2 linked regions of the Drosophila melanogaster genome follow. The gene in region 1 interacts genetically with each later gene. Each region holds a gene or a part of one and is shown on either strand. Other genes may lie near its edges.

Region 1 (3,957 bases):
CCTTGCGGGAAACCTTCTGCTCCAGGGTGATGATCTGGCTCTCGCTGCTTCGCAGGAAGTCCACGCACAGCGGATCGTTCTCCGACCAGCAATAGGCAATCGATTCCAGCTGCAAGCTGAGCAAAGCGATTAGACTGGGCCATGGAGTGGGAGTTGTACTGTGCAACTTACCCCTTGATCTTGAACACATGTATGTTGGCACGATCTTGGTCCCTTATCGTTGGCCTCCAGGGATACACCTCGTTCTGCGAGGACTGCGTCCAAACCACGAACAGATCGAAGCTGGCGTTAACTGTGAGGTGGCGGGATAGTTTGCGCTCTGTGGCGCCCGGTATGATCACGTGGAAGATGCGCGGATCCATATTGGCGATCTTCTCCGGTCCCTGGGAGCGAGCATTAGGCCTCTGCAGATGCACCACCGTCAGCTGGTTGGTATTGTAGGCCAAGACGATGTGGGAACGGGTGAAAAAAGCTGGCGAGACAACGGATGCGGGCGCACGACGAGAAAAGAGACACAAGCGACAAAGCTGAATGAGTGGCTCGAACAAAACATGGAAAGCCGGAGGATGGTGGATGGGGGAAAGGGGTTGGGGGTTCGCATATTTACAGGCAACAAAACAAGCCAGCAGATTAATTAAAAATTACAATAATTGCATGCCCTGCATGTGTGCGTGCGGCTGTGTTGGTGTGGGAAAGTGCAAATCAAGTCGCACTTGTTGCCAATGCAAATTTCTCCATAACTGCACAAGCAGCACTCCGCGGAGCAAGGCCAAATGCGGACTGCACTCTATCGAATGACTGATACCCTGGATGACAAGCGGCAAACAGCACAAAGAACTAAATGCAGGACAGCTTTTATAGCTGAGAGCTTAGTGAATAATTAAATGGCATGCATGTGTTTCTAGCAAGCTGTCTTGGTAATTCGTTCTAATGATGAGGAACCTTTAATTACGCCTGAAATAGCCATTATGTATTGCGTGATGTTAACGCATATTAACTGATTTTCGAACGCTGCAAGTTGAGATGTCTGCCAGTCGAGCTGCACATGCAGAAATGCAATGCCCAAGCTGATTGATGGATGGCTCTAATGCGATGGAGGGCGGGCTGGAGCGGGTGAAAGGAGAGAATCGCACATACCATCCGTAATGACCTCGGAGGCGAGCTTGCCCACCAGGTACTTCTCGAAGACCATGCGCAGAATGTCGCCCGTGTAGATGTCCACGCAGATGTGGGCGATCAGGCCGTGTGAGAAGAGGAGCAGCACCTGCGCCGCGTCCTGCCACTCGGAGTGGATGATCCTGTGCTGGCGCAGCAGGTCCTCCAGCTTCTTGAGGTTGTCCTTCAAGCGGCCGGTGGACTTGCGACCAGAGTTCTTCAGCACGGCCAGTCCATTGCGACGCTCCGTATAGTCTCGCTTGGCCAGGCAGGCGAGGTCCTGCTGCTCCTGCTCCTTGTCGCGCTGCCTGAGGTAGCGAAAGGCGCCCAGGTCCTGGCTCTTGATCCGCACCACATCCTCGCGCAACGTGGTCCAGAAATGGGTCTCGCTGAGCAGCATATTCAGGCCTCCAGTGCATCGATTTGCATGGCGGAATGATGGGTGTCAACGCGACTCGATCAGCTCGATCTCGATTTGTTGGCGTGTGCCTTTCAAGCTGCTCCAATTGCACTGATTGCTTTGTATCGGGGTTAATTGCGCTGCTCTATGACTGCTCTGCGACTCGTTATCAAGGTTGCTCGCGGAATAGCCAACGAATTAGCACTTTGGCCAGGATTTTTCGCTTTAAACAAACTTTGTTTATGAAAATAAAATAAACTTGTTGCTCGAAACACTGCTTACGTTACTAGAGACGGCACTTTGTTACGTCGCTGAGCGTGGTGGTGGCGTGATATAGATGGACTACAACTGCGATCGCTCACGTGGTGGAGATCTTCGATGGAGCACATAGGTTGTGAACCAGGCTATGCTATGTTTTTAGCACGTACCCGAACCAGGATCTAAATTTTTGAAATTCAGAAAAATAAAATATTTACAATAAGCTACCACTACTTTCGCAGTGTAGTAGCTAGCCAATAAATCACTTTAATTTAGTTGTGCGAAATCGTATTATCTTGGCCAAATCGGCTTATCTCATCTCACTTTTATGGGCGGCAGTCTGGTTAGCCAAGATGAACTATGTTCGACTGCAGACGATTGTTAAGATAAGATAATGTACATATATATTAAATGGGAAACGAGTGGGTTATTTTTAAACAAAATTGTTGTATTTATTGATTTCACCATCAAATCGGATTGCAATCAATTATTCACAGTGGTTTCCTTAGTTCTTTGCTCATTATCAGTGAAATACGTTTTGCGTGGAGGGGGGGGGGATAACTAACTAACTAGCTAACTAATGGACTAAATAAACAGCAAAAATTGTATCAATATAGTTAAAGTAATATAGTAGAGTAATGATAACTAAATCGTATATCGCATTTGAGGAAACTTAACGGAAACTTTTACAGTTTACGAATCGGATCGGTCGGCTTTATATCTATATATATATATATTTAGCGGCATCTACTGGCAACTGCGGCCGATTCAACATTTTGTGCTTACAACTAAGAAAACTACGCCAGCGAACTCACTCTTTAACTATTTACAATGCACTCTGAGCGAATCGAGTCCTATGTACACTATATTATCCAAGTATCAACCACATTTATACACTCAATATATATTGTAACTTTAACTAAATAGCAGCCTTTTCAAATTTTGATAACGTTTCGCCCTGCGGTGGCATACCACATCCTTCTGTGGCATGCAGCAAGTGGGTTTAGGGTGTGGATGGTGCACTTCGATCCTGGTGCGTGTTTCCCATTATTGGTTTTTTCTTTGTTTGCTTCTTTTTTTTTTTCGATTGGTTGGCCAACGTTCAACGTCTAACGTCTTAAGTCTATCGAGTTCGTTTCATATCTGACTTAGAAGCTAGTTAACTAAGAATTTGCGCTCGTTGGTTTGGATCGTTTAAAAACGAGGGATAAAATTACATAAAGTTGCAGCAGTCGCGTCTACATATGCACAGATTGGGTTACTCCTTCTCCAGTCCTTTGAAAGGCATCTAAAAGTCGTAGAACTCGTTCGATTTGTTGTTGAAGCGCCGCGTGAGCACATAGACGACCGCCTCATAGGTGGCCATCATGATCGCCGTGTTGGGAATCTGTCGCACCAGCTGCGTGGCCAAGCCTCTGTGGAAATAGTTGGTAAAGTTTACAATTAGTAGGAGAATTTGCTAAGGTAGAGCTCTCATATATAAAACACCTCGAGTGAGCACGCTCGAGAGTGATAATCAAATTAAGGTAAACAAACAAAAAATATGCGACGCAAAAGAATTTAAATAGATTTCACGAATTCGTGGGTGGCACATTATGATAATTCATTAGCTTATATGTATATGTTTCTTATATACATGTCGGAGTGCAAGTGGGATTCCCTTCGATTCTATTTCAAGACGGATTCAAGGGAACTACACGAACAAGGGAATCCCTAAGTACAAGTTGATTGCCTTAATGTCGTATCAAATTGAAAATTCACTCTGCTCATCTATTTTACCCACCTGTAGAGTCCTGCTCTGCCCTCCTCCTTCCAAACAGTGTGCAGGGTCTGCCAGAAGGAGTTGTATTTGTTGCCCTCCTCCCGCAGACGAGTGCGTGCCACTTCGTGGGGATAGGCGATGCAGGAGGCGATGGTTTTGGAAACAGCGCCAGCCATCATGAACTCCAGAAAGTCGCGGGATCCCTTGGTGTCCGTATGCCGCTGATTTCGCTGCTCTAGCTGTTTGTGAAAGCGATTTTAAGTCGGAGGGAAACTAGTGCGCATTAAATTCAACTACTTACCAACTTGGACTTGATAAACTCGTAGATGACAAAGTGCACCATCGTCTCGCAGATTCCAAAGTAGCTGGCCGTGATGCCCTT
Region 2 (3,600 bases), on another chromosome or scaffold:
TCGTTTCGTAAGCAAATTAGCTTGGTTTCAAGGTTCTCAAAATAGATCGGAAGCTTGGTGCTCGAAAAAACAATAACAAACCAATCATCAATTCGGGTTGGATTCATCTAAGCTTCGAAAGAAGCATTAGATATATGTATAGCCTACAGCGTTTCCCAATTTTCTCTCAGTTTTTCAATAATAAACGAACCTTTTTTGTGTAAAATGTGGCTGATATGAATGAATTTGCGTGAAATTCTCAAGATTTTATTGGCCTAAATATAGTGATCTGCCTTCGAAGGTTACAAATACAACAATTAATTAATTCCCAGCAGTCTTTTCTGAGCTCTTTCCACACAGTCGGCATTCCGCACTAGACGGACAGGTAACACAGGATTTGTGTTTTCCATTTTCTCCACCGATTCTTTCTTAACCCAAACCACCACCTTTAACCCACTGTGCAACCTTTCGCTCGTTCTAATTATGCCGCGACTTTTTTCCTACAGCTTCTTCTAAAAGGTTCATGCTATTTTCGTTGACTTTTTTGTAGTTCATTGTCATGATAATTAAGGCCACCGGTTATAGATTTAGTTCAATAGCCATGTGTACACTTAAAGATTTGTTCCACAAAAGAGAGCACCGATCCTCAGATTGTTCTAATCTTGAGCCTGTGAGCAACCATTTGTTTTCTGCACAGGCTGTGGAGTAAATTGCGAATGGAGCGCCGCGCTGCAATTATCTTTGGATTTGCCCAAGGAACTGATAGATCGGCGGCCGTTTTCTTGGCCATTGTTGTGGAATGTGGATTCTAACTTGTCCATTTAGGTTCACAACAGCACCAATACACCTGCACTCGGCCACATGCATGCATGCCGTGCACGGCTGCACACCCCTACACATGTGCACTTGTTGTGCTGCCGCTGCTGCTGCAGAGGAAAAACGGATTTTCCAGGCTTGCAAGTGTGTGTGTTCGTATGGGGAAAATTATGCAAATGCCGAGCGCTACTTAAATCAATTACGAGCGCGAATTCCTCATTATTTAAATCATGATTAAATAGTTACTCGCGCATTAACGGTACTCCGCACAGTGTCGCCCTCTGCTTCTTCTGTTTTTGTCTGTTTTTTTATCTCTTGCCATATTTTTCATGGCTCTTTTACTGCCTCTTCTCACTAAAATCAACTCAAAAGTCTACTGCGATTGTGTTTTCTGGGTGAGAAATAGACGAAAAGAAGTTTCGAGTGCGAAAACGCGAAGCTCGCATTCGAATCGCAGCTTGGGATCGCACAGAAAATCGTAAACACGTTCGCAGCGGAGCCCCTCTTCTACTTGGCCAAAACTACCAAGCAGATAAAACGGCTAAAGCAGCTAAATTGGAGCTAAAACAACGACGACAACGCGTGCGAAGCGCCTTAATTAAAGACGAACGTCGCCTGGGATCCCGATCTCTGAATTGACCCGCAGTGAAAGTCAACTTGCACACACGATATACACCATGGTTTATGGTTTTTGCCCCCGGCCGATTTTTTAGGGCGCCAAGTGGGAGAAATGCGCTGCACTGCGAACCGGAATGCCAAAAATCGCACCTGTTGCTCGTCGCGATCGAAATTTGAATGCCAAGCCTGGCTTGCTGCGAGCAGTGCGACCATGGCGTGCGCAAAGTAGTTTGACCAGCGTGGATGGTCACACCAGGCGAGCTTCGATGTGAACGGGTTTGCTTTTATTTTATCTGCACGTCTCCAATAATAATTTACGAGCGGAGAATGAAACATATATATACATCCTCCCATTTGACTTAAAGATTGGTTACAAAATAAATAAATAAGTAATAATTCATTGTCCAATGTGCATATAATATTTAGTTATTAAAGTAAGTACATACTATTATTGAGTGCTTTGAATAAACATGTACGTGAGAACACTTTGCATTTAAATTTTAAATTTGTAGCGCCTGTTATTTACCTCTACCGTCCCTTTGCAACACTGCTTCCCAGTGGCTGGCACTCGCAGAAGAAGAAGCACCTGGCAATCAGCTGTTCCAAACGACAAGACGCGCATTTGTTTGACTTTCAACGGCGGACTCGAAAAAGCGCAAATTGAAATGTGTTGCCGCAAGATTTGCGCACCAGTCTTGTAAGGGCCAATTGCGGCTATAATTTCATCGCCTTTGCTGACAACCCACTTGGCTGGCAGCACGCGCATGCTCGGCAATCGCGATTTATCGGCCGACAGGACGAAGGACGAGACGTAGAGAAATGCTAGGCATCGCGAATTGGAGAAGCGGCAGGAACTCGACTTTCAGTGCTCAGTGCTCAGCGGAATTTGGTGGCATTTCAACGTGTTTTCGGGCGCACCAATCGCCAAAATCAGTATTTATTGTTGCACGCCACCATCCGTGTGTGTGTGTGTGTCGCGTAACGGCGGGTGTGTGAGTGTGTGTGGCGAGGGGCGGCGAAAAGGTATTGGAAACCTTAGAAAGTAGAAAGTTAAAAGTGCCAAGTTAGTGCAAAAGTAAATTCCGACATTGGGGTGACTGCCGTCTCTTTTTTCGCAGTCTGTCTGCTGGTGGTGGCTCGTCCTCTTTCTCCGCCTCCTGCTCCTCCTCCTGCCTCTCAAGCCCATCCTCCGTGCCCCCATCTTCCCATTCTTTCTAAGGCAAAGAAAAATCACAGTGCACGCTCGATAAAGGGAACATGCCAACAGGAAAGTACGTGTTTTGAGAATCCTTACATTGCTGCCTTAATGGTACTGTGAATTTAAAGTTCTTACTAATATTACTACAGTATTGAAACTATCTTTCCTTTGAGAATCTAAATAACTACTTTTGCTTGCCAGTTAACTGTAGCGAGCGCGCACTGTGCATTTTTGTGAATGTGTGAGCCATGAATATGTGAAAAACAAAGACGGCACTGGCTGCGAATAAAAATCAATATTGATAGTAATTTCTCGGATGCTCTCTGCTCCTCCGCTCCTCGAGACCTTCCCACAGGAAGCGCAGTCAGGTGGTCATTGTCCGCTCCAGCGCCCCGGCTGCCCATGCTCCCATTTCCCATCTTTCCCATGTTCCCACTTGCCCATTTTCCGCACTATCCGGCTGCTTTGCCGCCCCCCTTTTTGGGGGTGATTCATTGGGCGCACGAAGTCAGAATTCCATCAGCGACGACTCCCTTCCGCCTGGGAATGTGGAAACGCGGTCGCCATTAAATATTGATTCGATCCTGGACTGCAGCACGCTACGTCAGGAAAACATATACAAAAACGATTAAAGAGCAATTTGCAAAGCGGCCAATAAAATGCAAAGTAAATAAATGGGCCGCAACTCAATTTGACCAGCAATTTTAACAGTTTATCGTTCGGCGAAAGTACACACGCATAAGCCACACTCGAAATTAAATCAAAGTCAATATTGCAACTGAAACAGAAACTGGAACAGTGAAGATGAAAACGCGCCTCGTCTCGCTGACTTTCCGCGGCAGTGCATCCGTGGATCCGCGCTATTCCGCCTCCATGCTGCCGTGGACCATTAACGATATCAGGTCCACGGAGAGCTACACGAAGGTAAATATTACATATATTATTATGAAACAAATAACTCTACATTGGCTTAGAAACTAATTGGGCTA

The links. Genes that interact genetically often act in the same process or in processes that back each other up.
Region 2: of frtz (region 1) and Rab23, changing one enhances a phenotype caused by changing the other (phenotypic enhancement), as found in Drosophila melanogaster (one study listed by BioGRID).

Annotation. Positions count from the first base shown.
Region 1 is NT_033779.5:1,714,002-1,717,958, forward strand, and holds the start of frtz (fritz), read right to left. Parts: upstream 1,851-3,957; 5' UTR 1,556-1,850; coding exon 1,138-1,555; intron 473-1,137; coding exon 172-472; intron 117-171; coding exon 1-116. Other genes in the region: Rim2 (replication in mitochondria 2), read right to left, coding at 3,102-3,228, 3,597-3,814, 3,877-3,957. UniProt on the Drosophila melanogaster protein: Probable effector of the planar cell polarity signaling pathway which regulates the septin cytoskeleton in both ciliogenesis and collective cell movements. Functions cell autonomously to regulate wing cell hair polarity and number.
Region 2 is NT_033777.3:5,683,835-5,687,434, forward strand, and holds the start of Rab23 (Rab23), read right to left. Parts: upstream 1,601-3,600; 5' UTR 1,564-1,600; intron 1-1,563. Other genes in the region: plx (pollux), read left to right, coding at 3,416-3,535.